3 linked regions of the Alligator mississippiensis genome follow. The protein of the gene in region 1 binds, or shares a complex with, the protein of each later gene. Links are inferred from orthologs where the notes say so. Each region holds a gene or a part of one and is shown in the gene's direction. Other genes may lie near its edges.

Region 1 (10,587 bases):
GGGATGGCAACTACAGAAACGTATCATAGGTGATGAGTGAGGAGCACGGATCCACACAGGAGACTATATTTTGGTGTGTGTCACTCCCACCATGCACCACCCAAAGCAGCTGACTGGGCTTCTACCACACCAATCGCATAGGAGTGAATTTACTTTGCATATAACGAATTTTTGGTATAAAAAGGGTCATCACATAAGAGCAAATTTGCACATACAGAACCCACATAAAGCAAGGGAAACCTATAGTGACACTGAATCTTTCTCCTAGCACTTAACAGGGAATAACCATTTAGCCTTTCTCTGGTCCTCCTATGCATGCACTAGGGCCAATGCTGTAAGTTTATAAATGAGCTACTTAAATCTCGTTGTTGGCTTTGTTAAGATCCATCTGGCAGCTTTCTCAGCCTTTCACCAACCAGCTGAGGAACAGCATGTGTGTCTTCAGAGTAAGAGACTCGGCTCCAGTAGGACTTCAAATCTGAGCTTCACGTTTGTTATGAGAAAGCTATCCCAGTCTATGGTAACACACTGTCTTCTGTGCCTCTCTGAGGATGGCTTTCCTGGTGGTAATTACATTGGCAAGAAAGGTGGGAGACACGCAAGCCCTTACGGTGGATCCTCTCTACACTATCTTTTACTTATAGAAAGTAAGTCTGAAAACTTATCCCAAGTTCTGCCAAACTTGTCATGGACTTCCATTTGGGGAGACCTCCATTTGGGTGTTCTACCCAAAGCCTTGTTCCTGACATGCAGTGGTTTTATTGTGGTCACTGGATGGGAAAAGTATATTGGCTTTACTTCCTATACTGACCAAGGCTATTCAAAAAAATCTTCATGGCTGTTTGTATGGGAAGCTGAGATCTAAAGCCTTGAAGTTGTCAAATGAAATCTATGAGATTGCTAAAGTGATCCTGCCATTTCAATAAGGGTGCAGTCCACCACAGTACAGCCTATTTCTACAGCAGCAGGTCCATTCATGCATTCACCAGCCATTGGGATAGTGTGGAAGCCTCTGGGGCAGATGCTGCACTGGGCAGAATGGTCAGTAGCCTTTCTGACTGCCTTTGCTTAGAGGAACTCTTGAGATCCATCTCCAGGTTTGTAGGCATTGTTTTGGAGTTGCCCACTAGTAAGAACATGATTGTGGACAAACATCCTAAAAAGAAAGCAGCTACTTATCAACTGAAGTTCTTTGAGCTGTATCATCCACATCCTTTATGCCAGATCAGACTCCAGGGGCTAGGTGGGACATCGTAGTGGACCAGATGATCTGACTTGCTGGCCATGACTTGACAACTCCTGCCCTAGTCTATGCGTATTCTTTCTCAGCTGATGTTGGAAGAGGGCAATCCTCTTACTTTCTATTGGCCTCTTGGCAGCTGGGAGCTTAGAATTCAGTTCCCTGTTTCTTTCATCTTCCACTGATGCCCAGTAGGTGGCATGAGTGTAAAACGGATTTATCCCAATCCTTTTCTTATTGGAGGTTCCTTATGATTGAGTTGGTTCAAATACTGTATTTCTGGACTCCCCAGGGTAATAACAGGAACCCAACCCACCTTTCAGAAGTTTCACTTAATATTTCATTGTTAGGTGCATATCTCTCAGTATTCCTTTGTCTTTCCAGTTTCATGTGGTTTCTATTGCTTTGACAATTCAATAATCATTAAGAAAAAACCCCAAATCCCTTATGATTCCTTTCCATTTCGTGGATATAGACTGTATGGTCTGTGATATGTAGGAAGTTCATATCATTTAGGGTAGGGGTGTCTAACATGCAGCCCATGGGCCATATCTGACCCACGGAGCTGCTCCATCTGATCTAAACTACTGGTGGGTTACCAGATGTTGGAGTCATGGCCCTGGGTCCTAGGCGACATGGCCGTTGGCAGCAAGAGGGCAAGTGAGGGCTGTGCACATAGTCCCATTCACCCTATAGTCTCTTGTGTTGCCACCATGGATCCTTTCAGTCCCACAGCAGCCACTGCTGGCCCCACCATGTGCCCCAGGGCAGATCTAGGCTGTGAGTAGCTCATTCAGTCTGCATTCAGGGTGAAGCACAGGGCAAGTTTCAGAGTCTTGTTTTAGGGCTTGAAACAGTACAGACGCTGAGGCCTTAGGGTACCTGTTGCCCATCTGCCCATCTGAGTGACCACTCAAATGCCTAGTTCACTTTCCTGCCACACTTTTGATGTTACTAATTTGGGTGTATGACCTCAGTCTGGTCATAGAGCAACAGCTTTTGGTGCCTCTCGCTGCACCACAGAGCCTGCTTTCCCAGGCGCTTGTCTCGGGTACCTGTTGCCAGGTTGCTTCAGAGTCTACTCCAGGGGTGCTCAACCTCTGGCCCACAGAGCCATTGTATCTGAATGCAGGGCTCTCCACGGATTGGGAAACTTGGTAGTGGGGGAGTGGTGGCAATTAGTACTGCCGTCCCTCCCCTGTTGCCAAATTCTCAAATGCAAGCTGCATGCAGCAGGTTATCGCTGAGCCATACCCTTTTCCCCCTTGCCCTCCCTCATGGCTGGACTGGTGTGTCTCTGTCTCACTTTTTTGCTCTCTCAGCTCTGTCACAGCCCTGTCCTCCTCCTCCTCAGCCCTGTCACAGAGCTGATACAAGAAAAAGAAATGGTATTTTGAAAGAATACAACAGATTATTCACATATAGAAAGAAGGTGTTTATGCTTTGTAGCTTACTATTTAGTGTACAAAAAAGAAAAAGACCCCCCCCCCCAAAAAAAAATAAATAAAAATTGCACATTCCTTGCAGTATTGGGAAATTTGATTCTGTAAACTTTAGTTTCTGGTTTACCGAGAAAGTTGTTTCTTAACCTTTTTAATTTCAGTGTCTGTCAGGCCCTGTGGATTCTGTGTAGCCTGACAAAAAGGGTGGAAATCTCTGTCCACATGCAAATCACAAGTGTTTAACAATTGCTTGAAACTGGTAAGCATCAGACTTTTCATTTGTGGGGTACATGAATTGTCTGAGCCCTTTAATCCATGTATCTCATGTTGTCTCTGCCTGTAGGAGAAGCTGATGTCTGGAAGTTGGTGAACTTGTTGCTGGAGTTGTCATGGACAGGGCAATAAGGTGATTACCTCCTGATTTTGTAAGCAGAAGGCCCTAGTAACGTCTTTAGCAATGTATATTCAAGACAGGTTTGACTTCTGCACATCCAAAATGTACTTTTGACTCTTTTATGGTGACCACTGTTTGCAGTTATGAATCAGATGCACAAACCAAAAATTTAAATTTCTCAGCCTGGTGGTGATAGTTCAAATTTCCAGATTCAAACCCTTGTTCTACCACAAGACAAGCCACATAGATCACATTAGATCTGGGATCATACTAGGTCCCACATAGATCATGCTAGGTCTAGGAATATAGGAAAGTATGGCTGGAAGAGTTCACAAGGTCATTTAGTCCAACCCCTGCTCAAGGCAGGAGCATTCTTGATTAAATCATCCTGGCCGAGTGTCTGACTTGCTCTTGAAAATTTCTCTCTGTGTCCTGTTCCAGTGCTTGATCACCTTCAAAGTTCTTCCTGATCTCCAGCCTAAATTTCCTCTGCTGCAGCTTGACGCCATTGCTCTTAGTTCAGTGCTCTGCTGCTACAGAGAATAAGCCTTCTCCATCCAGAACTAACTTGAATAGCTCTATCTGGCACTGTGTTGGGCTGTGTAGACACCCTATGTTCCTAGATGTTGTGTGCCCTAAGAGGAAGTCATTTACCGTAACAGGCTGTTAAATGCCTAACTCCCATTGAACTCTTTATATGACTCTATATGTGTCCCAAGAATCCACAATGTTTAAGAAACATGCTTATGGTCTGAAGGGGAAAAGAGCTTTAGCCTGGGGCCAAATTGGCTCCCATATACTTATACCTTCCTTACTTAGAGGTCTATATAAAAGTTCATTCAGCCTTAAAATGTCCCACTGAATGTGCTAAGTTAGGCCATACAGTCAGTAAATTTATGTTTAAATAAGTGGCCTGATTTCTGTGGTGCTTTGAACTAAGTTCCCACTCACTACTGAGTATCTTAGATGGACAGAGTTTTTTTTATTAGGACCGAGCCTGTTCTTTGGAACATATATATCATTTGTAGCTAGGGCAAAAAGCCTGGCTTCTGTATGAATGAAGCTAGTCTCTCACCTCAGGAGAATTTTATAGGTTTTCCTTGTTTACAGTAGGTGAGATAATGTTACGTGCTCAAATGCTACAGCAGCTCTTGCATCAATCCAGAACAATATTGTAATACTAGCTTATTATAGTGTATTATACTACTGAGTGTTTAGTTAAAGTGTCTATGGGAGATGAAACAATACGTTGTCTTGGCTAATCTAGGTTAGTATTACCTTTCTTAACCTAGCTCTGGCCGTAGTTCTAGCCCCTAATTGAGCAAAGGTGACCTTGTTTATGGCAGGTTTTGCTAATGTGTGTTCTGATCTGCTTTGATAACCCTTTCTGGTGACGTTAGGCCCTTTTTATGTTCCTTGAGCCATTCCTCATCCTTTTCTGCCTACGAGTCTAGACATATATAATAGTTGCCCATCATCTACTGGAGTAGGCATATCCGCAAGAAAGAATTTTTTCTACGAAGGAAATGTTGAAAAATCCTGGGATCAGTGATACCTGTGAATGGGGGTTTCTTTCTAGGCCAGGGAAGCACTCTGGGAGACAACTGAAGTAGATTAAGAGCTTTCATTTACTAGTAAGGAGAGCTCTAGTGAAAAATCCAGGCTCTACCAAGCAGCTTCCCTCCGAGACACTTCAGTTGCGTCTCCCACTAACAGGCTCTCATTGTCCTTTCTCATTCAAAGGAGCCTTTCGTGGGCCAGTGGCAGGCAGGAAGAAGAAGTGGGACTGATAGAGAGCAGGGATAAAGGGTTGACAGGGTAAATTCTTCCTCTCCCTTTCTCCGTCTGTTTGGGGGAAAATGTGACTGTTATTAGGGGAAGGAGTAATGAAGCCCAGGGGTAAATTAAGACTATTTAATGTTTCACAGAAAACATAATAAAAAATAATGTCTCAGACTTATAAAATGGAAACCATGGAAACTTTTACAGACTCTTGTCTGTAAGGATTGTAAGGATACTAGGTGCTGTAAAATACTAGTAAGGGAATTTATTTTAATTAATTTCCTTTGTGTTGAAATCCATCGCTTTCCCCCAATTCATGAGAAACCCTGAAAATATTTCAAATAACTCTCAAATTTCCGGCTGTGTCTGCTTCATCCCTCTCAGCTTGAACAGTTGGAATGATTCTGTCATCACATTAGGACTAGGTAATGAAAAAGGAAGGGAAGGATTACAATTTCCAAATAAAAAGTACTTCATTTTTTCCCTCAGGTCTGACTGAGAAATCACAGAAGAAAATTATCAGCATTACACACTAAATTCTTGTCATTAGATTGTAAACCTCCGCACTGCATCAGTTTGGCTGCAAATTCAATGGATATTTATAAACACTTCTTTTACTTTTATTATAGCAATATGAAAGCTGCCTTATTAAGAGGCTAAAACCAACAACCTATACATGAGAAGGATTTAGACCTCCCAATCGTGTATTCCTCGGCCTGCATTTATCTTTACAAGTGGTGGGGCAGACCCTCAACAAGTATAACTTATGAGTCTTCCATTTACTTCAAAGATACTGTGACATATGACAGTACTCAAGGATCTGTCCTACTTGATGTGGGGCTATTGGCTTGAGCAGATCACAGTACATAAAGCACCTGTGCAAATCTGTGCAGGACTTGGGTCTTAGTGGCTTTTATGGACATTTTGGGTGATTCTCTGTTACCCAACCTGGAACAGTCAAATTTTGTTGTAGTGGATAGGGTTATTTGTACTTCAGCCTAATAATAGATCATCCATCTATTGCTTCTGTGCAAGCCCCATTTACTTGAGTCTATACATGGGTAGCAGTGATCCCTTCCACAGTGGATCATGGTTGGGCCTTGTACTTGATAACACACATCTGCTTCCTTAACTGGAATCTCACATCATTTCATTTGGGACAACAAATACATCATTAAAACTGTGTTGTGCTTGTCCTGAAGTTATCCAGACATTTGGATTCTCCTCAGGAATAAGATGCTTTAGTCTGTTCTATTATTTCTGTGCCAGAAGTGTCAGCAAATTGTTCTCATGACTGATTAAATTGCTCTTTAATACTTTTCAGAGTAATTTACACCAGGAAGTTCCTGACTCAAGAGATATGAGACTTGCTAAGCAAATGTTTTCTTGCTAGAAGTTGAAGCAAAGGCCATCTCCTTTTCAGGGCTGTGAGAAGCAATAAAAGTTTAGTAGGGCTAATAAGTGTGTGACAGCACCTGAAGCCTCATCTTTGATCAGTCAATGTAAGAAGTAAGCTTTCATCCCAGTTGGACAAGATTTAGTCTGCACTTCCTTGTAATATTTTACCATTTAGTTGAGGACATTCACTATCAGTGAAGTCCATTATGCCAAGGGGTAGAGAGCACTTTGCCCTTTCCTTCTCACTGAACTTTGACTGGTTGGTCAGGTTTATTATAAACCCAATGCTAATGACATAACTGCCCATTTTCCCTGAACAAAGGTAAGTTGCCACCTCTCCCAGCTGCAGCAGGACCCCCCCCAGACAAGACGTACCAAACAAAAATGGCTGAAGAGGAAATTAAAAGCTTCTCTGTTGAGCTGAGTGAGAAAGGAGGGATAGAAAACAATGGATTTGTTCAGGAGAAGACTGTGGATGAAAATGAGACCAATGCCAGTCGCCAAGAAGAGATGCCAAAAACATGTGCTGTTGGCATCAACCCAGAAAGTACACAGGAGCCCTCTTGTGAAGTTTTGAAGCCCTTTGCAGGAATGCCTAAGGAAGTCTTGCTTAAGTTCTCCTGTCAGGCACGGTACAGAGTCACCAGGGAAATCCTCTTTTGGCTTATAATTGCATCTGTGCTAGTGCTTGTATGTGCTACAATTGCAATTATTGCTCTGTCTCCAAAGTGTCTGGGCTGGTGGCAAATCAGTCCCATTTATCAGATCTATCCTCGTTCTTTTAAGGACACCAACATGGATGGGAATGGTGATCTGAAAGGTGAGTTGCTTTGTATTTTTGCTGTGCTCAAACCTTGCTAACATGAAGCTATATACATTATACTTCACATGGCATAATGTTATTTTTGGAAAGAGTAATATGGAAATTAATGTAGAGGCAGCTATATGTCAAGAAAGAGGCGGGGCAGCTAGAACTATGATTATCTTTAAAAAAAACAAACAAACCCTCAGGAATGGGTCATGTTCATAAATCCAAGTCTAGATTTAAAATCAAGTTAAAACCTCCCTGTGTTTACCAGTCTTCAGATCTGGGATTCTGGTGAAATACTGCAGAGAGAGGTTACAAAACTGACATCCAGATTATAATTTCCCTGCAAATTGGGTAGGAGAGCATAGAGTGTTTGGGATCTAATATTTTGCTGATCAATTGGTCAAATGCCATGCTGACCTTAGTTCTGTAATGTATCAATGGATAAAATCCCAACACCAGGGGTGGGCAATTATTTTGGCTGGAGGGCCGCTTAACAAGTTTTGGGGAGCTGTTGAGGTCGCAATGGCAGCCCCGCCCCCTGGTCACCATCCTGGGACTGGAAGTTCTACCCCCTAAACCCTGACCTTTGCCACTGGAAGTCCTTCCCTTTGCCCCTGGAAGTACTTCTTTTGGCAAGGTGGTTTGCTATCTTGGAACCAGAAAAAAAAAATTATATTCTAAAAATCAAGCATCTACTACAACATGCATTAATTTGATTTAAAAAAATATTTTTGTCCTGATTTATGTGTGTATGCACAGTGTACATAGAGGTAATTGCATAACAACTTAAAATGAAATCTTACTTTTGTATATTGTGGGGAGATGTAGAGGAGTGAGGGGGGGGTATGAGTGGGCAGAGGGCATAGGGTTTGTGCGGGGCTGTGATTGTGTGTGTGGGTATGTGTGTATGTGGGGTGTGGGGGAGAGTATGAATGTGTATATGTATGGGATTTGTGGGGGTGGATAGGTGTGTGTGGGTGGGTATGGGGTTTGTGGAGGGGTATGGGTGCGTGTATGTGGGGTGGGGGAACGTGGGTGTGTGTGTGTGGGGTGTAGGTGGATATGGAGTTTGTAGGAGGCTGTGTGTGTGGGGGGGGAGGGTGGCATGTGTAGGAGGAGGGTGGTTGGAGTATGTGGGGGGTGTCGGTGTGGGATGTGCATGAGGGTGCGGGTGTGTGTGCATGGGGGTGCAAGGTGGGGGTGTGGATGCATGTGAATGGTGGGGTGTGCGTGTGGGACCCACCCTACAAACACGCTCCCCCACACACACACCCCTCCCTCATTATGCACAGCCTCTGACACTAGTGGCAGCAGCAGGCAGTGGGACTTTGGGGCACTCATGACCCATGGCAGTCGGAGACTCCCGGTGGTGTGTGGTCCTGGCAAGCCCCAGGACTGCACATGGCCAGGCTGCCAGCAGGGAGGGGGGCAGAGCCAACCCAGCTCCATAGAGTCCCTGTCAGCTTGGGCTCTGTGCTCCTGCTGCCCTGTCTTGGGCCCCCACCAGCCCTGGCCTTGGGGCACTGGCATGGGCCCTACACTCCTGCCCAGCTGCCACTGCAGTCCCACCTACCCTTTTGCTGTCACTCCCCCCTGCCTGCTGCCGCTGCCACTGCCACTTCCCCTGCCACTTCCCTACCTTCCTACCCAACAACACTGCTCCCTCCCCCTCCCCCCCAACCTGCTGCTCTGACAGCGTGCAGTTTCTGGCTGTATGGCCAGAACTGCAGGATGCAGCAGGAGCCAGCCTGGCCTAAGCCAGCCCAGCCTGACACAGCCCCCACAGTTCCCAGCTGGCTCCTGCTGCACCATGTGGTCCTGGTCATACAACTGAGAACTACATGGTGCAGAAGCCAGCCCAGCCCATCTGGCACCATGCAGTTTCTAGTTGCATGGCCAGGACCTCATGGCGCTGGAACTAGCTGAGAACCATGGGGGCTGGGCTGGATGGGGTTGGTTTCTGCTGCATCCTGGAGACCCAGCCATGGAGCTAGGAACTGTGTGATGCCAGTGAGGCCAGGCTAGCTTCTGCTGCATTGGCGTTCCTTCCCCCACCCCTATCTGGTCTTACCTGAGTTTCCACTTTCAGACAGAGGGAAAGTGGGGGAACAGCCTCAAGGTCACCAGGCCAAAAGCCTTTGCTAGGCTGAAGCTTCTGGTTGGGGGCTGGGGGTGGGATGGGATGGGGACACATGGACCTTGCTCCTGCCACTGCTGGGTCCTACCACTGGCTTCTCCTGCCCCTGGTGCCTCATCAGCTTTTAGACAGGCAGCCACTGGCAGGTAATAATTTTCTGAATTTTAGAAGGGTCCCACAGGCTGGATAGAATGGCCTGGCAGGCCAGATCTGGCCCACATGCTGTATTTTGTCCTCCCCCGCCCAACACCAATTGAAACAGGGAAAAAAGAAGTATTTTCTCTGTGCATTTCAGATGATGATCTCCAAGTATATCTGATACAAACAGCTGGTGCCAAACATTACGAACTCAGTTGAATTGCAGTTTTTACTCCAAAAATGCACAGTAAAGGAAGGTAGTAGGCACTCTTCAACAGCAAGCAACAAATGAAAAAAATTCCAAAGGTGCATAAGAACTGCAATGTAGCAGGAAAATACACTAGTCTTCATTGAGAAGAGGAAAGCTGGTGTGATTTTCAGAGACAAAAGAGAGAATTGGAGTGAGAGACTAAGCAAAAGTGCTGATTTAAAAGAGAATGTCTTTCATCTACCTGGAGGTAAAGGCAGGGCCATTTGTTTTTATATTGTGCTAACCTGCCTCTGCAGGTGGTGTGAGGATTTCTTTCCTAACAAAATGGAAAGTATGAGATAATTAATACATTTTATTAGAATTAATCTTTTTCAGTTGCTATTGAATAAAGAATTTCAATGGCGGTCAATAGTTCCCATTCTGTGACTTTGTGCTATAATGTAAGAGTTTCAAGATTCCTCTAGCCTTAAGGAAGGAGGTCACATATCCCACAACCCACACATGTCCTGCAGTTTGAAAGTCTATGACAACATCAGCTCTGGTGCCAAGTCTTTTCTATAGTTGCTTTGTTTTGTCTTTGTAAGAGGTTTTGTTTTGTCTTGTCTTTTTCACAGGTATCCAAGAAAAACTGGACCATGTCTCACATTTAAATGTAAAAACAATCTGGATAACATCCTTTTATAAATCCCCCATAAAAGATTTTGGGTATGGAGTAGAAGACTTCCGTGATATTGATCCTATGTTTGGAACGATGAAGGATTTTGAAAACCTGATTGCAGCTATTCATGATAAAGGTAATCTGGAGATATGGCAAATAGCAGTGCTTCTAAAAATAGTCATTCAGGGAATAAAAGGTTGCTCTTGTTTCAGTAACTACATGTGATTGCCTTGCATTAAATAATTTACGTTGGCTTTAAATGTATGGATTTCTCTTTGTAACACTAGTTCTCTAGCCTTTTCTCTTGGCACAGGCGATAGGAGCCTGGCCAAACCAAGGATGGGTTGGTGTGAAGATGGCATTGCTTCTTGGCCTC
Region 2 (10,138 bases), on another chromosome or scaffold:
GCAGATGGGGCCCTCCATTCCCCTCAGGATGGAGTCTCCGATGACAAGTACTCAGCATTTCTTTCTCTTGCGCCCCTGTTCACACTGTGCCACATGTAGAGTGGCACCATCCACTCTGGAGGCATCTCCTTCTACCTTCTCCTCCAAGGCTGCCAGGGCCTTGAATATGTTCCCCATTTGTACCTGGGGAGCTGCCTCCATGCTAGCCTGAGGAGCCCTGGTTCTGGTGGTCACCTTCTATTCTTTGGCTGTGTCTCTCTTGCAGGAGGTTTGTTGGTTGGAAGAGTGATCCTGCAAAGAATGGAAATGTGTGTCAATCTCATCCTCCGCAGCCCTGATTCCCGTTAGGCTGCTCACCTCGGCCTGGAGCTCCCTCACCTGCTCCTCCAGGGCCCAAAGTCGGGCACAAGAGGAACAGTCAAGGGAGCCTCCAGACCCCACTCCTACCCGTGGCCTCCAGGTCCCCGCCAGGCAGCCCCCACAGACAGGGGGGCTGCCTGGCCTCCGTCTGGGTGGGGGTCTCAGAGGAGCCCAGGGTAGGTGGCACCACCAGCGCGGGGTTCCCAGTGGCTGCCCTCCTGGTCCTTACCCCTGAGTCGCGGTCCCTAGCAGCTGCTCCCCGTGTTCTTACCATGTCCATGTCCGTGGAGCTGTGAATCTTCCTCTCTCTCTTGCTGCAGACTCCTTCCTGGCTCATGCTGCACACCTTCCTAGCACAAACGCCAGTGCACTCTTTCAGAGCACGCCTTTTGCACGCTCTGTTCGCGTGCACGGCTCCTTGCCGGCTCAGCTAAAAGGGATCCAGGGAGCTTCCCCTCCAGATCTGCCTCAGAAAGAGGGTTGTCACCTCAAATGTGTAAAACTTCCCACATGTCCATCATCTTAGACCCCCCTGGCAAAAATAAAAATTGGCACTTATTCTCCTATCTCTTGCTTCACCCCACACCTTGATCCCTGCTGCCTGTCCCACCACCACTTTGCCCCACTCCACTGCTTGCTCCCCTGATGGCTGCCCTCCCTTGTGCCTGGTACTCCTGGCATCTTCCTCCCCTTGGTGTCTGCCACCTACCATACCTGTGACCACCCCCCTCAGCACTGACTTGGCTCTACCTCCTTCTTCCTGCTCTGCCACCACCATTTACTCTCCATTGTGGCTCCAGTTCTGCTCCAGGCTGGGCCACAGAGCACATGATGACTTTGGTCCCTGCCTGGTAATGCAAGAGTGGTTGCAGCAGCTTAGAGGGAAAACCTCATCTTGGTTTGGAGTAAATATAGTGCTCAGAAAGAAATATCTCAAAATGACAGATGGTGGAGATGTCCTTTATGTACAAAAATGGCACAAACTGAGTTTGAACTCTGTACAGGAACAGTTTTGCTCACACTCCTTGTTTTAGCATTAGGTACATTTGTTACTATGGTTTTCCTTAGCAAAGATACAAACAGAATAGCACAGCTGGCATCTGCCAAGAAAAATGTGTAGCTTCGTAAGTTCCTTAGTAAAAGGCAGCTGTACGGTAACTTTGGCAGAGCACCAGAAAAGAAGCAAATTGCCAAGGCAGTAGATTAAGTGTCACATGCCCTCAAGGTTCAATTCCATTTTCTAAAGAAAATGGTTTGAATATACCACAGAGCACAATGTGGCTGATAGCAAACTGACTTCTCTCCAGTAGGGCTTAGGAACTCCTTGAAGGGCTTTTGAGGAGGCCACTTACTAAACTGAGAAGGAGATTGTAAAGATTTATGATCATCAACTGCTCACAACAGGTGCACTGAAAAACAAGGGTAGGGGGAAGCATGCATTCAATTACTTTTTGTCAACCATTTATATCTTTCTGGGCATGTCTACACGTGCCACTATGGCACTATTGTTACTGCGCTATCATTTAGCATTTACCGCACTATCATTTATCCTTTTCAAAGTACTAAAAGACAGTTCTGTGACAGCTGGTATTGCGCCATGTGCACTGTGCATGGTTGTTTTTAGGGATTACATCACCTTAGTGACATGCTATAACAGGGGAGCATATCACTATGGCATTATAGCTGCAGTGTCATGGGTTTTGCCCATGGATGCTATGTCACTGTGGTGAGTTGCTACAGCAACATAGCATCACGTGTAGCAGTCTCTGAGAAGATGATGAAGACAATTAACTGCCCGTGACTCTGCTTTGAAAACTATGCATTTTCTTTTGATACTCTCTTCAGTCCTTGGGCTTCTATATATTTGCTGAATAATTAAGGCAACTAAATTTTTTAGAGTACAGGTGTCAAACTTGTGGGGCCAAATGACTAGCATGGGGCAGGGATCCTGGAGCAGCTGGAGTGGGTGCTACATGTGGCTCAGTCTGGTCAGAGTAGCAGCCGTGTTGAATGTGTCATCTGCCCTGGCAGCTCTGGACTGCACTGGACACAGTACCTGCTGCAGCCAGTCCAGAACTACACTGCTTGTGGCACCTGCCAGTTCTTCATGCAGCATGGGTCCAAGAACAGATGGAGTGAGCGGCATGTGCAGCATGTATCTCAGAGCAGGCATTGTGTGTGGCACCATGCAGCTGGGGTGGCTATTGTTGGCTTAGAAAAGGTATTTAGAGGTTTGTTTTTGGAAATTGGCTTATAGGTATATGTATATGCATTAGAATGGTTCAGGATGGGAAGCGGGGGTTAATTGATTTCTAAGAGTCTGGGTCATACAGTTTTACACAGCATTGGAAGCAGACAGGCTGTCTAACACAACAACGCCAACAAGGACACATAGTCTGGAAAACAGTCTGGGAAAGAGGGGGACATGTATTACACTGTCCATAACATGAGATAAGGTAGCACCAGCTAACAAGGCCCCAGAGCAGGCCAGAGTCCCAGTTTTGTGGGAACAGACCAAATTAGGAGAAGGCCTGGAAAGACCAAATTAGTATGTGTGCACATAACGGGCTTGGAGTGTGTGACAACAGAGGACATGGACTTTTGACTACATAGAGGGAAGAACCAGTGATAGCCATGGATGAAGAGTCATCAGGAGTCATCAGGAAGAAAGGAGAATGCAAAAGAGAGACTGGAGAGTAACAAAGGGCCCCTCCCTATCCCACCTGGGTTCCTTCATGTCCCTTCTCCCCAGTCCCACCTGGGTCCTTCTTCTCCACATCCCTGTCCCCTGGGAAGGGTCCCCAAGGCCACTATGGAGAAAGGGTACACCACCAATCTGTCTCATCCACCCCACTGGAGGAGGAGTGTAGGCCTCTGCATCCTACCTCCAGACTGCTCACATGCTGCCATCTGATGCCTAAGAGATCCTGGCCAGATGTACTTTGATTCTGATGACAGCCTTTGGTAGATATATAGAACTGCTTGATTGTTTGTGTTGCTTCTTTTCAGTTATCACTGGGTATCAGTACATTTGCCTATTAGTGAGTAGAAAGGTCATGGTCAGTCTGAGGGTGGGTGGGTCTTTCCCCCTCCTGGTGGGTCCCTCCCCGGAACATGGCATCTGGATCCAAAATCCAGAGCCAACAGCCATTACGTGCAGTGTGACTATCATTTTGGTCAGACTGCCTCATACGCAGTGCCCATTCTGATCGCAGTCTGGTCTGGTCTGGAGAAGCTGCAGAAGCATTTCCTCACTGCTCAACTCCTCCTGGTCCCTCGGAGGAGTCAAGTGTACAGGCATTCATTCTCCCAGGAGAACTTCTCCTGGGAGCAAATTCTGTTGTGTCAGAGATTGGTTATTTTTCTTCCAGGACTGCCATTTTTGTTCCAGGAGAAATTGCATAAATGCCTGCACACTTGTGGGTTTTCCAGGGAAAGGAGCAATTATCCCTGTAGAAACATAACACCCGTACATCAGCAAATGCAGCCAACAAATATCTGTGAAACCCAAAGAGACAATATGTCCCATTCCTGTTTAATGCTGATCTATGTAGAAGATGACAGCTTACTGCTATCATTAATTACCATATTAGCTTAACGTTGCAGAGATCTGTGTAATGGATTTTTAACTCTGCTCATGTGATGACACATGTAGGGACCAATAAGATGTCACATGATGAAATTTCTGTTGTTCAATTTGCAAAGCCTAGGGCTGTGGTTCTCAACCTTTTAAAATTAAAGGCAGCCCTTGGAGAATCTCAGCTCTTAGCTTTTACTCATTACTTGACTACAGAAAAATTATAGAGCAGTTCTTCTACTGCAAAGCACTCAGGAAGACCACAACATGTCAAAATATTTTTGACAGTATGGATTCCTGTTTGAAATCTCTGGATTTATTTTGTGCATCACGTGCAGATGTTATACCTAACAGTACTAATATTTGGTAACACTTTTAATAATATGCCACTACACTCTGGTTGAGAACCAATAGCATAAGGAATTGTACATGCATGTACACACATATATACAAACTTCATTAAAAGAAAACTGAGGCTGCAAAGTTAAGCAGTCAAAGGTTAGGAAATGTCAGAATCAAGGCAATTGAACCTTAAGTCAAAACTGTCTATTTCGTGTAACGAATGTAGAAAAAATAGTGTGTGGATCATGCAATTAACAATAATGTCATAATCCATATGCAGAAGGGAGCTGGACTACAGCTGTACAGGCCAACTTTATAACATTATTTAATAGAGTTTCATATTCTTTTAGATATACTTCATACACAAGACAATAAATTAGTTTACTTCTCTATGGATAAATCTACACTGTAGTTACATAGAGAATGACTGTAGCTTGTGTAGCTTTCTGTTAGGTAGCTTTTCTGGTGGGTACCAATAATAGTTGGTTCCTGCCTGGAATTCTAAGAAGTACTAATACAGCTTGCCAGCACTGAGGTCTTGGCTGCCATGACTACACAGTTAACTCAAGTATATTACATGAATAGTTGTTTGCTACATGAAGAGCTGCCAGCATTTCTCATAAGACTTGGTTAATCATCTTCATACGTTACACACCAAAAAAACAGAATAAGCTTTTTCCTTTGAATGACTAAGCCAAGATTCACCAAGATAGCCTTTCACTGGCAAGTAAGATCTTGGCCTTTTCTGAATGAAAACAAGCGAGGCAAAAGAGCATTCTCAAACCTCTAGTCATAGATCTTAACTGCAAAAAGACTGAGAAAATGGGAAAAGGAAGGAATGACCATGTAAAAGAAGAGAAAAGAAATGAAGATGATAGGATGCAACTCAAAAGGACAATAGGGTATTTTAATGGGGTGAGTTTTATAATTGGCACCATAGTTGGTGCAGGGATCTTTGTGTCTCCTACAGGAGTGCTACAGTATTCTTTACTTAACGTGGGTGTTGCGCTATGCATCTGGACTGCCAGTGGAGTAATATCTCTGATGGGTTCCCTCTGTTACGCAGAGCTGGGGACTGCACTACCGTTCTCTGGAGGAGAATACAGTCACATAAAGAGAGCACTCGGATCTCCACCTGCTTTCATCTTTATCTGGACAGCGATGTTTACAAAGCCAGCATCAAATGCTGCCCGAGCCTTGTTGTTTGCAGAATATGCCACTCAACCTTTCTATGGTGCCTGTCCTGTACCAGAGCTGCTAAAAAAATGCTTGGCTTTGGCTGTTCTTTGGTGTCTGGGGATTCTGAATGGCCGCAGCATCAAAATGGCTGCTTGGGTTCAAACTGTTTTCACAGTGTTGAAGATGACGGCTTTATCCGTAATTGCCATAGGTGGCATTGTCCTGCTGGTTAGAGGAAGAAAGGAGAATTTGGCAAGGCTTGAGAATGCTTTTAGTTCAGAAGTTCCTGATGCATCACAGATTGCAGAAGCTTTTTTCCAAGGATTATATGCATATGGTGGTTGGTGGTCCCTCAATTACATGGCAGGTAGCTATTTTAAAAAATATATATTTTTAGCAGCCTTTCTCACATTATTCAGGCAATGTTATTATCACTTGTCTCCCTGTGAAAATAATATTTGTGCAGACATGTGTTTTAAAATGCTGGCTATTTACAAGGACCTTATGAGTTTCCATTGGTAAAAGAGGGTTGCCCTCATACATGGAACTTATTTGCTTAATGTGCATTAAAACTATAACTATATTGGAGGTCTCCAGAACAAAAGGGATATTTAAATTTGGACTAATATGGAAAGCAAAGATTTAAATTTAAATCTCTCTTACATACAGAACTTTCACAACGTAAATGCTGATTTTCCCTTCTTTTAATCTCATTGCAATTATATAAAAGAGGGTGTTACTTGGAGTGGGGTAGGATGGGGGTGATGAGAGTTTCACATAGTAAGGACTGAGTGCCTTCAGCCACACAAAGCACAGACCATTATCCTACTAAATGGTATTTTTTCTATTAGTGCATGGACTAATCATTAAATTTAAAATTAAAACTTTAAAAATATATAATTTTTGCAGTGAACCAGAGCTATTGATTTCCCTAGCAATGCAGTTCTTAGTGGAGAATAAAAAAAATAAGTAAAGGAAATAGTATAAACACTTTTCTGTGCCCTTTTAAATATATTGTTTCTAAACATTTTAAAGCCTATAATAGTTTAGTAATATACTCATTTATTCCACTTAATATATAGTGCCACATATGTCATAGTAGCAAAACCAATTAGCACGACAAACTTCTATAACAACTTCAGAGTAAACAATGTTAACAGGAATGTAGCCAATCATGAACACCGGACTAATCTAATGATTACCCAAACATTTTGCAGGATTGAGCTGTATGTTCTGAGTTTTTCTTCTTATGTCTTTAACATTCTCTATCTATTTCGTTTTTTCTCATTAGTCAAATATTAAACAAATTAAAAGTAACAAAGATCAGCAGAGAAAACTTGAAAAATAGTTAATGTTTTAAAAAGGGCAGTTTATGAACTGGTTATTTCTAGCTTGAAACTATGCTGCAGAAAAAAGTAATTTTTTCCCCCAAAATAAAATAAAATAAAATAACTAGAATTTGAAATCCTATTAGGGCCTTTTAAAAAAAGTACAAGTTTGATGTAACACGAGATATTGCAAATGTATTTATACTGTACTATTTTATTTTATGTTTGGTTAGCAACATTAATGCAGTAGAACAAATTAGACTCTATAATACTTAGGCAGAATCTATACTTTTTGACACTGAATTTTTACACTTTTTCAAGTATTGTTTCAAGTAACTACCAATATTATATCTAAGAAAAGAAATTAGGAGGGGGAGAAATCCTGGATTTTTTCTCTGGCATTTACTGGGTTCACTTAGCAGTACTTTAGGTGTTAGTTTTATTTTTTCTCCTGTACAATCACTCTTACATGTTATTTGTGTAGGTCTTTCAAACAGCAACAGGAGAAAAAATTAAATAATAGGAAAATGTGCTTGTGAAAGCTCAATGGGGCTTTATCTTGGGGCAGTTTTAAGAATTGTAAATAATATTTGTAAAGAATCTGTCAATTCAAATCTAGGCAATTTTAAAAAGGTGTTTGAAAAGTAAGTCTGGTTGGAAAAATTCTATGAAATCTGTTTTTCAATATAAAATTGGGTTTTCAGTTAAACATTTTCTTTTGGCAAAAGTATTTCTACAGATAATTCTGACTTTATCAACCCCCCCCCCCACCCGTACATCTACAAACTAAAAACATTTGGATTGTGTGTGAAAAAGTAGATTCAGAACCAAATCAAACTATTTGCTTTTGTCACTATTTGATAATATATAACATTCCTCATAACCATCGCAGTAGTTCAGACGATGGCATTGTTTAGTCTGGAGGCTTATGTTCAGAAGATGGTAGAGTTAATATTGTTTACTCTGGTAGCTTATGTTCCCATTCTTGTCTAAGGATGGGCCTTCCTATTCAGGAGTCTTTTCCCATGATGCTCTTCAAAAGCACAGGAAGAACAAGAACATATGATGCATCATTTAGCCCACGCTGAGAGCCAGCCTATCTAAAACAGGGGTGGGCAAAATACTGGCCCAGGCACAGTAGAGCCATGACACATCCTGCTGCCCCCTGGGCATGCAGCAGGGCTGCAGTGGTTCTGCAGCTGGACTGTCTTTCTAGGCAGCTGAGGTTGTGGCAGCTCCTTCCGGCTGCTGCTGATGGTGGCCCCAGCCCTGGGGTACCAGTGGGGACCTGTGCTGCATAGCCCTGAGCCTGCACACCCTGCACCTGCTCCAGGCTCACCTACCCAGGCTCAGCAGTGGTGGCCTGGGACAGAAGCTGTTGCTCAGCACGGGGAAAAGTGGTCCTCCTCCTTGCCACCACTGGGCTGTTCTTGCTGGAGCTACCTGGAGTCTGCACCGAGCAGCCCTGCGTCTATGCGTCACTGCCACCTCTGGGCTGCTCAGTGGGGCAGTGGTGGCAGTGCAGAGAAGATGCAGGGTAACCCAGCGTGGCGTGGGCTCCAGGTGGCTGCAGCAGGAACAGCTGTCAGTGAGAGGTTGCTTGTCCTCTGTTCTGAGCAACAGCTTCTGTCTCATACTGCTGCTGCTGAGCCTGGGTGGGTAAGTCTGGAGCAGGCATGGAGTGTGTAGGGGTAGGGCTGTGCACATGGGTCCCTGCTGGTACCATGGGCTGCAGGAGCTGGAAGGAGCCACTACCACCTGGGCTTTCTAGAAAGGCAGTCAAGCTGTAGAGCCACCCCAGCCCCACTCTGTGCCCAGGGACGGCAGGATGTGCCAAGCCCAGACAGTGCAGAGAAGGCCCAGGGCGGGCTGTGTCCGAGTTCCTGCTGATCTGTTCTGGTGGGGGGGAGGCTGAAGTAGGCCTGGGGTAGGGCTGGGGCTGTGCACTGCTGGCAGTGGTAGGAGGCACTGCGGGACGTGAGGGCTCTGGGCAGTTGTGGGGTGGGGGCGGGTGCTGATCGGGGGGTGTATGCAGGAGCTCCCATGCACACCCCACCATACCCACAAATCCTCCCCCACAAACCCCACATGCACCCCCCTACACACACCCACATGCCTCTGGGGAGAGCCCCACTCAATGCTATGTGCACACAACACACCACACGTGTGCACCCACAGCCTCCCACACACGCTCCACCATTGGGCCCCTAAAAATGCTCTACAGCCATGACTTAACACATGTGTACAGTTACAGAATGTTTTCAAAATGGCTAGCAATGCAAAAAATTAACCCTGGTCAAATGAAGTATTAGATTAAGGTGCTTTAAAGCAGAATGCCTTAGAAAATTTGTGTTCCTTCCAGGGTTAATGTTTTGCATGGGATCGGGGCTCAGTGGGGGAGGGTGGATTGGGGGAGCAGTAGCATGGAGTTGCCAGCAGCTTTTGAATGGCCTGAGCTGGGGAGGTGGGGTGGAATGGAGCCTCCTCACCTTGCAGCCTCACCCCACCCAGCTACCATGGCTGAGGTATGGGAGCCAGTCGAAGCCCACAAGGTGAGGGGGCTCTGTTCCAGCCCACCCCTACCTCAGCTCTAGCCATTCAAAAGCAGCCCATGGCTCTGTGCTGCCACTGTCAAGAGGCCCAGGTGAAGGAAGGGAGTCCCTCCTCACCTTACGGGCCTGGCCTGGCTCTCTCCAATAATCCAGCTGGGGTAGCTGGAGGGGGACCGTGAGTTGAGAGGGACTCTCTTCCCTCATCCCCCACCTGGGCCTCTTGACAGTGGCACATGGAGCTTCAGCTGCTTTTGCATAGCCAGAGATAGAAGGGTGGGGCAGGGTGGAGAGAGCCCCCTCATCTCATGGGCCCGGCCTGGCTCCACCTAATACCCCAGCCAGGGTAGCTTGGGATGGAGCCTGCAAGGCGAGGGGGTTCTGTTCCACCCCCCTCGCCAGTTCTGGCCATCCAAAAGCAGCTGGCAGCTCTACATGCTGCCACTCCTCCTCCTCTTCACTCCTCACTGACAGCCCCCAGAGCTGGGCAGTCAGGCAGGGCTGGGGAGATGGGTGGTTCAGCAGCCTCCTCAGAGGCTGCTGGAGAACCCCCACCTGCTGGGCAGGGCTGATGCAGGCAGGCTCCAGCTCCACCCCAACCTAACAGGCAAATATCTGTTGGGGGGTGGGGCAGTGCTCTAACCCATGGCACTTTATGTAAAGCACCGTGCATCAGAGCAGGTCCCTGGATGTCTGTAGGCATCCTAAGTAATTCTGACTATTGTTGTGGGTTCCATGTTTCTCCCCTGTTATTTGTGACCCACCCAAGTAGATATACACCTAAGTGCTTGCCAACTATTTCA
Region 3 (10,965 bases), on another chromosome or scaffold:
CACTCCTGCTTGGCTGCTGCTGGTCACTGTCCAGGCTGAGCCCAGCTCTACACAGGCTGGCTGGAGCAGCTCTGGAGCACCTCTAACAACTGGAAGAGCAGGAAGAGGAAGGGAGGGAAGGGGATGGGATGTGCCTCTGAGCTGGGGGTTCTTACCACTGTGAGGGCCTAAAAAGGTCCCTGACTGCTGCTTCCATGGTGCAGTCTGCTCACCTTCATCAGCTGGGGGCTGAGGGAAGGATGCTGGAAGTGGGGAGTACAGCCACTCCAGCAGCACTGATTGCTGCCCCAGCACCTCTCTTAAAATCCTGGGTCCACTTCTGAAAAAAGATAACAGAAAAAACTCACTGCACTTGGTCAAAAATGCATTAATTCATCTAGATCAGCTGACTTGTTTTCTATTTTTAACAGAAGGGGGTTTTTTTGTCCCTGAAACACGTAACTGATAAAAATTTACAAACTCAATGAACTAGTTTTGGTCAGTCATGAACCACGACATTCTTACATATTCACAAGATTTGTATTCACATGGATTCTTATGTATGATCTATATTTTAAGAAGGCTTGAGCATATCACTTGCTTCAAAAGCTGCTGCCACTGAGTACAGCACCTCTCAGAGCTGGGTCTGTATTCATCTTTCACAACAGCAGGGAATTGCAAAGGTAATTGAAATTCATTCATTCTTAACAGCAGGAAATCTCAAAGTAATTGATTGCTGAACTCTTTGGTAATTGTGGTTTCAGGCATTTATTACAGCAATGTTTATGCTACTTCTGAGTGCTCTAATAACCTGGAATAGTCTGTTTACTCATAATGAAATAGTGCTGTAAATTGTGAATCCACTCTATACATACAATTCTGATTTAGTTACTAATGCATTATTAGTACCACCCATCCTTGCAAATCCTTTTTGCAGTCACAGGTTGTACAAATAGGTAAGAGCACAGAAGCAATATTTTTCTTTACAGCTTAATGAGTATGAAGCTTTCAAGGATTCCTTACGTGTGTCTTCAGACAAGCTGCTAATACAGCGCACAAATCAGTGTCAAAGGGCTCGGGTGGTGCGTATTATACAGAACTGCAGAATCAAAATGGATATATAAAACAGAGGCCAAGACGGATGTTTTATTCTTGCTGTGGCAGCAAGGGATAAGACGTCACAGAGATAAACCCAATGCCATAAGTATTGAAGATTAGATTTACGGACTAAAGGAGCTCAAAGTTCTATGTGCTATGAGCAGGACTGAGTCAGACCAGAAGCCTGGGAAAACACATGTGATCCATGCTCTATCTGTACCTTAGCTCAAATTACATCTGCTTCTTTTCCAGACCCGAGTAAGGGTACCTTGAGCCTGAAAGCTTGCCTAAAACCTCTCCTAACTATGCAGTTGGTCCAATAAAATATATCATCCCCCAAAATCCGTGCCTCTCATTTCCTGGACTACCATGTCTACAACACCACTCCAACATAACCACATATAACATTTTTGTTTCTTGCAAAAAAAAAAAAAAGGAGACTGACTTTAAACAGACATCTATGGAGCACAGGAGCAGCTGTCAGAAACATGACATCCCCTTCTCAGCATCCAGAGTGGCATCTTAGATGGACAAATGCGACCTCCCCACTGGATTCTTCACTGAGAAATAAAATCAGATCTATAGACTGTCAGGAGACTTTTAGGTTTTAATTTACAATAGAGCTTGTGCTTATAATGGTTGGAAAAGTACATGTTTACAGTATCTGAGCTAGGAGGAAAGAGGATCTAAAATTTGCTACATGGGAGAAGGTCTATCTTTATTTTGATATTACTTCAAGTTACTTTTATTTTCACGAAGGAGTGGCCAGTAGCACAGGATTGTGTATATTTCCATACACAGGTCTGCATGTAAATTTCAACCCTGACTAGCACCACTCCTACTACTATTTCAGAGGTCTCAGATCTTACTGAATTTTCCAGTGATTTTATAATTCTAAGCATCATAAAATTCACCTTCAACTACACTTCTGTGTTAAACTGGCCCTTGTAAGTATTCTATTATAAACTCTCTCAGCTGTCATAGGAGTTTGCCTGCAATGGTAAGGAATCAAGATATTAAAAGTATGGACCAATATTGCAGAAAGAACAATTATTGGAAATTGTTCCAATTTTCTCCTGCATTACTACACCACTACCTGTGAGGTGGCTTCTGCTGTGATAGCTGATTCCACTTTTTCTTCTTGTATTGGATGGCTGTCATCAGGTACTTCTGGTCATATGTTGTCTGCTGCACAGCAGCCAGGTATGCTTCCAGATTAATATCTCTTAGTTTAGTAGCATAATTTTGTATTGTCCTGTTTAAGTTGATCCTTTTTGGAGTATGTTAGGTGAAGAGAATAGGTTCTCCGTTTCTATGAGGTTTTCCTGCAGAGTTGTGTCACGTATATGGAATTGTGCACGCTAGCTAGAGGGTTGCAAATGAGTCCCCTTGGGATGATGCTTTTTTTTGTAGAAGCTCAGGAAGAAGGTACCACTGTGTAGTCTGGCTTTTTTTTTTTTTTTTTTTAAGGTTACACACACTCCATTTTAAGTGGCAGCTTTCAATATCTTCCATGTTTAGCATCAGAGTGACTTTGTAGCCATGGTGGTCTAGGAAATATGCAAGAAGCAAGGATTTTGTGGGTGATCTTTTACTGGTCCAACTGCATGGTTGAGACAGACAAGCTTTCAGATGTGAAATATTCTTGATCAGGTCTGAGAGAAGCAGCAGGCACAGTAATGATTTAAAAGTGTGCTGGGCTGTGAAACTGGAAAAGACATAAAACCCCAGGAGTACAAAGACAAGCAATTACCAAGAAAAGACAGCTTGATTAGTGGAAGATCGAGACCTTTGAAAAGGGAAGAGGGTCATTATCACCTGCAGTAGAAAAAAATGTTCAGGGATTACGTAGATTATAGTATGTCATAAAGTCAATTATCAGTGTTCAGTCCTTGGCTCTTAGTGTTCAGGCAGCTTAAGAATTCTTGTTCTAGGGCTCGCCTTTTGAAGGTGTTCTGTAAATTTCCCTTGAGCACGAGGATAGTGAGGTCAGAAAAGGAGTGGCTGTTCTGTGAAAAATGCATTCCTACTAGTGTTTGTGTCTCTCTCTCCTTTATATTCTTTCTGTGAGAATTTGTTCTGGTGTGCAGTTTATCTACTTTCATCCACATAGTAGTTACCATGAGAGCATTTGGTGCAGTGGATCCAGTACACCACACTTTGGGAAAGGCATGTGTAGGATTCATGGATTCTGATGAGTTTATTGTGGGCAGTGTCTATTTGTTATAGCAGCAGAGATATAGACAGGTTTTGCATCTTCTGGTAAGGCAAGGTTGCAACCTGTTTTATGTCTGTTAAACAGTGGGGAGTTTGCTTCAGATAAGCTGCTTCAGAAAGTTAGAGGGTTGTTTGAAAGCCAGGAGCAGAGAAACATGCATGGGATACGTACCTCTTCAGAGAAGAGGTGCTTTAGAGCGTATATTAGTAATATGAAAAGTTGCCTTGCAGGAAGAGGTCTTAAACCTTGGTGACTTCACATCTGCAATGTCCAGAGAGGTCTGGTACAAGAGCCCCTTCCAGACTTGAGACCTATGCTACATCCTAGTTTATTCTTAACTATATTGCCAAAAGTAACTACACTAGCTATAACTAGGAACTAACAAAAAAGTTGCAGTTAGCAGAGATAAGGATGTTGTAGATGTTTCATCTTGTAGCCAAAGGCAGTAGAAAAGAAATGGAAAGCAGAAATAGCTTTCCCCATCCTTTACATCTTCATCTGTCAGTTACTACAGGACAGGCAGGGTGCATATGTGGACCTGCTAGTCAAAAATATTCTGGTCTCACATGTGTAGCATCTATTTCTGATGCATATGAAACGCACAAAAAACAATCCTTAAACCGCAGTCCTTATAGTAACTTCTTAAAGCAAGCTCTTGTTCTTAAACAACAAGAAAATCATCACTCAAAGAAAGGAGAAAGTGCGAACAACACATCATTCCTGTTAAAATTACATAGTCTGTTTCAGTGATAAGAAAAGGAAAAAGTTCCTTTTTGAAATGCTTATCATTCAAGGCCCAACTTGTTACAATGGTAGAATATTGTTACTGATCCAAAGTAACGGACTCCCGTGTTGCCCCCTGCAGTGTGCGAGCAGCTGAAGGAGCTCACCGAACAGTATGAGAAGCTAGAGAACAACCTCAAGGTCCTGCAGAGCGTCGGGCAGGTGTGGCGGACAGGCTGCCCCAGGGCTTTCTTGGATGGGTCTTTTCTTGGGCTGCCTGTGCTGGGGGTGACATCAGGATCAATAGCAATATTGCCCTATTGCACTATCAATGCACTATTACCAAGCAGTAAATACCAACCCTAACAAATATTAACTTTTTATTACCAGTTATTAATAGCAATGTTATATAAACAGTAACTATATCTCTACTAATTTATTACTACTAAAAAATTACTCTGTATAATCATGCTGAGCATACTTCTAAATTTCAAAATCTGCAGCCAACTTCTGTTCAGACTGGATTATACTCATCTTAGAGCTTCTGCTTCAGAAGGTCCTTGGAATTTGAGCTCCTTGATCACATCCATTCATGAGGATGAGACAGAAGTACTCTTTCTACAACAGCTAGGGAATTTCACATTAGACATTATTACACCATCGCCATCTTGCTCATGGACGGCATGTTACCAGAATCCTCTCTCTTCCATTATTTGGGTGCTTCAGCCTTAATTGACAAAGGCAAGAACTACTCGTCAAATTGCAATTAATTTAATAAGCTCAGAGCATCTTAAAACAATGAACTGCCAAGAACAACTCTGGAAGGCAGGTTAATATTATAGCTGTTTTAAATATGAGGAAACAGAACTGTTAAACTCGATCAGCAAGTCAGTGGTTAAGGTAGATGGCCACTGATCAGCAACAGACCATAGACACTGAACATACATCCAGGATGACTCAAGCTGTCTGTCTCTTGATCCAAACCTGAAACAATGTATACTAGATGTCTTCCACAGTTAAGTTTTAATATTTTATTGTGTGGCACCAAAAGAGAAATAAGACTGAGGCCAGGTCTGGGACTGGAGCTGCCACTGCTGTTGCTGGGCCGGGGCCAGCTCTGCTGTCTTGCCAGCACCAGGGCCTTCAGGTACTTCATGGTCTGAGCTAGAGCCAGAATTACTGCATCGTGGACGCTGTGGTGGACACTGTGGGGAGGAGAAGTGAGTGGCAGGGGAGGCAGGTGGGGAGGGGTCAGAGGACAAGGGGCACAGGTCAGGCTGCCTGCCTGTCCATATGCCACTGCTTTCCCTGCTGCAGTAGTGGTGGGGACAAATTTAAGATAACCGCCAATTGTGGGATTGTACAGGACAAATTTATAATTTTCCATGTATAGATCTCATGATCAGGAGGTCTCCTTAAATTTGAAGTCATCTTGACTGTTGAGTTGTCCAGATAATAGTGTGCAGAAACTCCTCTTACTAAGCAATTCTTAAATATATTTTTAAACCTAAGGAGATTTCTAGGTTTCTTCATAAGTATAGTGTTAAGGTTGAGAGACCATTTCCCCAAAGAACTCTAGAATGATTTGTAGCCAATTTAGTTTGTAGGTGTTAGAAAGTCAGGATGTTCCAAGTTAAAAATGTCTTGAAAAGGTACTTTTTAATTTCATGTTAATGGATGAAGGCAACTGAAATCATGGTTTTCTTTGTCTTTTTCATGTTGGAAATGACTATTGACTATTATACTTTTTCTGAAATACCCTCTAGGTCAGGATCAAATTCATACTCCCTTACCTTTTAAAGATAAAGTAAACATTTGCTATGGGATGTTAGCATCTGGAAATGCTTTTCAGGTTACTAAACAACTGATGGTCATAATAATAAAAATGCTCATTTCCAAGGTACTTTTCCTTTATATTTGTTTATGAATTAGAAAGACCTTAACACATTTACAATCATAACAAATTCTTAATTTCATGGGGTCTTAGGTCACTCTCACTGCATAATAAGACACTCCGATGCTGGCCAAACATTAATAGAAACAGTTTATTCATATAAATGGATAAATCCAAAAACATTTTTACAGATAAACTAAATGGGCTGTTGGTTTACCTTGGATTCGTATCTCAAAGCTTCTTGGCTACAAATGTGTTTAATAATTACCTTTTATAACCTCTGTACTTAAGCTTCTTCCTCTTTGAATAATCAGGATTGAAACACAGACATTTCCAGCTGACTAACTTTTGATAAATCTAACTGGAGGGGTGAAGAAACACACTAGTCCAAAAGCTGTGAGACCAGATTTATGACATACGAATAGAAATAAGGTAAGTGCAAAAGCAATGTTAAAATATAATGCTTTAAATTACTATTTAAATAAAACTTTTAAAGTAAAACGTTAGGCAGAGAATTGTAATAAAATTCAAGCCTTGTGGTCCTCATACATTTAAGTCTGAATCTTTATTTGGAACCATGATGAATATTTTGAAGTTTAAAAAAAATAAGTTTATAGCTGAAGATGTATATTAAGATATTGTCACTATTGCTAATATTTAGCTTTTTTTTTTTATTTAGATGAACTGTTTAGATTTGCACCCTCATCTTTTGAGGATTACTGATCTGAAATGTTTAATGCTGGAATTAATACTTTGAGGATTTAAAGCACCATCCATTCAATTTGTATTAGTAATAACCAGCTAAATTGACATAACAGGTTGGCCACTGAAATGAAACAACAAGCAAACAATCTATTAATTTATAATACATAAAACTGTGATTCTTTCAAAATTCTGTTCTAAGAAATTCAGAGCCAAGGTCAGAGGGAAATTTTGCGTGACAGGATTGTTAAAGAGCATCAAGTGTAAGCTTCAACTTGCTTCACCACTTGATAATATACGAATTAAATGTTCTAGAAAATAAAACATTACTATTTCAAATAAAGTTAATGAGAGCATTAAGTTTACTGGTCTTCGTTCCAGTTTAGGAGAGCATCAATTACTTAAGTGGGTCTTTAGAATTTTAGTTGTAACTTTTAACTTATATTGTTAGTACCTGTCAATTTTATTTTAGGAAATAATATATGATGCAGATTTACAAAATCATATTTAAATAAAACTAAGAAATGATTTAAGCAAGAATAATGGCAAGGTTTAACACAAGTAAATTATCTAATGGAGATTTTTTTATGCAAATGAAAACTATACTTGGAAAATATAAAACCAGGATCCTAAAGTCAACTCTTATTTCTGAATGGCTGCATTTGGCAAGACAGTTTTATACATGGTTAATTGTTTTTAAGTAAAATATATATGAAAGCCAGAATTTTATACTCAGGTTAAGACCGGCCTTTGTTTTTCAGTTAACTAAGAAGAATCTTTATGTGGTTTTTGCTAAGGATTGTTTAGTATTTAAATGAGAGTTTAGCAGAGTTCCTGATAACTTTAGAATAATACTTAAATCTTATATAGCACAACACACATTCATAGTAGGCCTGTGCAAAACAGCTAGTATTCGCTTCGGATTCGGCCAATTTTGGGGACAGTGATTCGATCCGGTGATTCAAATCACCATCCTGAATTGATTTGGGCAAATCTGATTCAAAGATTCGGCTGCTGCCAAATCAGCCGAATCACATAGGCCCCATCCCCACCTGCCCCAGCTCCCGGCTCTCTAAGAAAAGCCTGCACTCACCAGCTGCTTCCAGGCAGGGGGGTGATCCCTGCTGTCCCCTGCTGTGTGGGGGCTCTGCCATGAGCCCCCTGCCCTCCCCGCTCTCCCAGACCCCGCTATGGCTGTCCTGCCCACCTCAGCTCCAGCCTTTAAAAAACCCTCAAACAAACAAAAAAAGCCTTGACTCACTGGCTCCTGCCTGTCAGGGGAGCTATCCCCGCTGCCCCACACCATGTGGGGGGCTCTTCCACAAGCCCCCAGAAGCCCTGAGGCCACTGCAGAAGCCAGTGAGTTGGGGGGAGGGTTCTTAAAGGGCCAGAAGCTGGGGTGGATGGGGCAGCAATGGGAGGGTTGGGGGAGCGGGCAGGGGATGGGGCCTGGCAGGGGCTCCCCCATGGTCACCTCCCCCCGACCCCCTACTTACCAGCTTGGAGTCCGGGTCCAGCTCCCTGCTGCAGTGGGCAGGGACTGCCCAACTCACCAAAAGATTCAGAGAGCTTCGAATTGATTCATACTTTTTAATTGGTCCCCTGATTCGATTTAGATTTGGAGATTCGGCCACTGAATCAGACCGAATCTCCTCCGAATTGAAATCGGCACCTGAAGCTTTGCACAGCCCTAATTCATAGTATAATGCAAATGTTCCCAAATTATCCTTATTCAATTTGAAAATCATTTTACAATAAAGACAAATAATTACATTAGCATTCAAAGTCCCATTATGACCCACCATGGTTCTTGAATAAATAGTAAATACAGTAAAAGTTCTGTTATCTGGCATCTCACAAGCTGGCATGCTCTGCTAACCGGCATGCCGGCTTGTAAGATAAAGTGAAACTGGAAGTGCCCACCATGGCACTTCTGGCTTCTCTGAGCCGCCATGGCTCGGGGCAAAGCAGCCTGCATTGCCGAGCCCCCACAGCTTGGGGGCATAACAGGCTGTGCAGGGCTATGCAGGACCCACCTCCATGTACTGCAGGGCCCAGTACTGCCATGGCAGGAGGGGCAGCAATGCCACGGGAGGGGCGGAGGGACGCCCCAGAAGCAGCGTGAGAAGCAGCGGCCAGGGCCGCTCAATTAACTGGCATATTTTGTTATCCAGCATCTCCCATTCCTGGGGGATGCCGAATAACAGAGCTTTCACTGTAACTGAAAAGGAGGTGTACAAATGTATGCGCCTTTACACACTACTCAGCTACCCTTCTGAAACTCTTTAGTGATGAGAGGACATTACTCTTTATTGTTGTGACAAGTTAATTGAATATTTGTGCAACATTTTATTCACAATTTAGGATTCATCTGATTGCATATAAAAGGAAAAAAAGGAAGTTAACCTCTGTTTTCATATCTTGAAAGATTCCAACATTAGATCAACCAAATGGATGAAGAAAATTTAAGGAAAAGAACAGGAGAAGCTAATGGAGGAGATGAACTATCACTTCAGACGAGTAAACCCAAAACTACAAATCTACAGCAAGAGGCAAGAAAAATTTTACACTAAATACCTTAATAGTACTGCACTTCTGCTATGTTTAACATTGCTATAGAACAGTGGCACTCAACCTCTTGCCCCCAGAGCTGCTTCATGCAGCCTGTGGGGCTCCCCACAGGACTAGAAATTTGGTAGCAAGGGAGCACTAGCTCCCAGAACCATGGCAGTTAACAGATTTCCAGATCTGAGATCATAGGCGCCAACTTTTAATTTGGGGGGGGGGGGGGAGGGGGGCCTAAGTTGATGCCCTCAGCATCCAGGTAGCACAGCTGGAGCACAGCTGAGAAGAGCCCATAGGGGAGCAAGGGTAGATGCAGGCAGCCTGCTGCAGGCTTGGGGCTCCCTCCCCTCCCCGCAGGAGCTCCATACCAGCCATGCCATCATGGCAAATCACCCCCTGCCTGCCTGGCAGCAGTGGGGGGCAATATTCTGCATCCCCAACCCTGCTGCTGCCAGGTGGGCAGGGGGTATCTCGCCATGGCAGCACGGTGCTCTGGGGGGAGAACAGGAGGGCAGGGAGCCCCAAGGGCAGAACAGACAGCTGTATCCACCCCTGCCATGTACATAAATCTGGAAGGCACATGACCCCTTATGCCCCACCTTCCAGGGAGTGTGTGTAGTAGCAGGAAGCCACCCTTCCCCCTGGTCCCTCAAGGAGCCACCTGTGGCTGTATCTAATTCCCCACCTCAGGACACATACACTACCCTGGCTGGGCAGCACCCCCAGGTCCAGTCCCTTCCCCACTCCCTCCCTCACTGTGGGGTCCTCAATTTGCCCCTCTCTGTAAGCTTGCCTGCAGGCAGCTGGGGGAGCTGCTTTCTACCACTACCTGGAGATATACTCCTGGCCACATGCATGCATGTACATACACACATACACGTGGCACCCCCTAAATCCCGCTCCCCACAGGCCGTTGTAGGCTGTAACTCTGCCAGCCTGCAGGAAACCGACCATTTTGTGCAGTTTTCCATGGCAAACAGAAAACCCAGATCCCTGCACAATACTGGGAATCTGGGACAAATGCTGTCCTGAAGTCATGTAACCTGGGACCAGGACCTGATGTTCCCATTTCAGGACTGTCTTGCCCAACTAGCTATGGGTGGTCATCCTACCCTCTTCTCAAGCAGGGCCAGGGCCCTCGGGCCCCCATGTACTCAGTGCCTATGGTTTGGATGACAAGCCCCTGCATGCTAGATCATGCCAGTGCATGCAGATAGGCTGCAGCCAGATCACACCTGCAAACTGAGCCTATGCTAAGTAAGGACTAAGGACAAACCATACATGCAGGATCTATGGAGCTGGAAAGTATTTAATGGAGAGATTGTGTCAGATTTCTATGTCAGACAGTGCTAATCAAGTAACAACTTAAAATTTATTGAGTTGTACACAACTAGGAATGCTGGATAAAATTTCAACAGCATTTGAGTCCCATGGGCTAAGTATAGACAATTGAAAAGCCAGAGGCTGAATCGATTCAATCTTGCAGGTTAGTCTAAACTGCGCAGAGTGAACCAGGAAGCAGGTAAACAGAAATTCACATTCAATTCCAGAAATACAGCCACACACCTGCAGTGGCTCAGACCAGAAGTTGTGGGGCACAAGAGCATGCCTCCCAGCCACTGCCAAAAGGAAGGGACGAGAGAAGCCCTCCAAGACTCGAGCAGAGGACATGTGACCAGGCCCAGCATGCTGAGGCCAGGGGAAGGGGGTGGGGGGCTTTAAACCCCCTCCCCGGCTTGCATGAGACCCCAGACCAGGTCTGTCTGGGAGGGGAGGGAAAGGGGAA

Evidence for each region.
Region 2: the proteins of SLC3A1 (region 1) and SLC7A13 are in contact, whole or in part, in a cryo-EM structure (PDB 8WK6), measured with the Homo sapiens proteins. The link is inferred for Alligator mississippiensis from reciprocal best matches to the Homo sapiens genes SLC3A1 and SLC7A13. Residues at the interface, in NP_000332.2 of Homo sapiens: Pro64, Tyr65, Ala66, Gly67, Met68, Pro69, Lys70, Leu73, Phe76, Ser77, Arg81, Tyr82, Pro85, Arg86, Leu89, Phe90, Thr93, Ser96, Val97, Leu100, Ile101, Thr104, Ile107, Ile108, Ser111, Cys114, Leu115, Glu194, Asn195, Asp202; in NP_620172.2 of Homo sapiens: Ile120, Phe123, Phe124, Pro125, Ser126, Cys127, Leu132, Pro133, Cys136, Leu137, Leu139, Ala140, Met141, Trp143, Ile147, Arg151, Lys187, Thr265, Arg267, Asp281, Arg282, Glu450, Cys454, Tyr455, Gln457, Leu458, Leu459, Phe460, Asn461, Ile462.
Region 3: the proteins of SLC3A1 (region 1) and SLC7A9 are in contact, whole or in part, in a cryo-EM structure (PDB 6LID), measured with the Homo sapiens proteins. The link is inferred for Alligator mississippiensis from reciprocal best matches to the Homo sapiens genes SLC3A1 and SLC7A9. Residues at the interface, in NP_000332.2 of Homo sapiens: Pro64, Tyr65, Ala66, Gly67, Met68, Pro69, Lys70, Leu73, Phe74, Phe76, Ser77, Tyr82, Pro85, Arg86, Phe90, Thr93, Val97, Leu100, Ile101, Ala103, Thr104, Ile107, Ile108, Ser111, Cys114, His201, Asp202, Thr373, Glu374, Pro375; in NP_001119807.1 of Homo sapiens: Cys137, Phe140, Tyr141, Val142, Gly143, Cys144, Pro147, Ile149, Val150, Cys153, Leu154, Ala156, Ala157, Leu160, Phe161, Thr164, Leu168, Thr279, Thr281, Asp295, Arg296, Tyr299, Tyr343, Val346, Arg347, Lys467, Thr470, Met471, His472, Gln474.

What each region holds. Positions count from the first base shown.
Region 1 is NC_081824.1:196,898,128-196,908,714, forward strand, and holds the start of SLC3A1 (neutral and basic amino acid transport protein rBAT), read left to right. Parts: upstream 1-6,565; 5' UTR 6,566-6,640; coding exon 6,641-7,076; intron 7,077-10,167; coding exon 10,168-10,347; intron 10,348-10,587. UniProt on the Homo sapiens protein: Acts as a chaperone that facilitates biogenesis and trafficking of functional transporter heteromers to the plasma membrane.
Region 2 is NC_081826.1:50,305,515-50,315,652, forward strand, and holds the start of SLC7A13 (solute carrier family 7 member 13), read left to right. Parts: upstream 1-4,971; 5' UTR 4,972-5,101; coding exon 5,102-5,825; intron 5,826-10,138. UniProt on the Homo sapiens protein: Associates with SLC3A1/rBAT to form a functional heterodimeric complex that transports anionic and neutral amino acids across the apical plasma membrane of renal epithelium.
Region 3 is NC_081833.1:60,112,050-60,123,014, reverse strand, and holds the start of SLC7A9 (B(0,+)-type amino acid transporter 1), read left to right. Parts: upstream 1-6,211; 5' UTR 6,212-6,344; intron 6,345-9,042; 5' UTR 9,043-9,064; coding exon 9,065-9,166; intron 9,167-10,965. UniProt on the Homo sapiens protein: Associates with SLC3A1 to form a functional transporter complex that mediates the electrogenic exchange between cationic amino acids and neutral amino acids, with a stoichiometry of 1:1.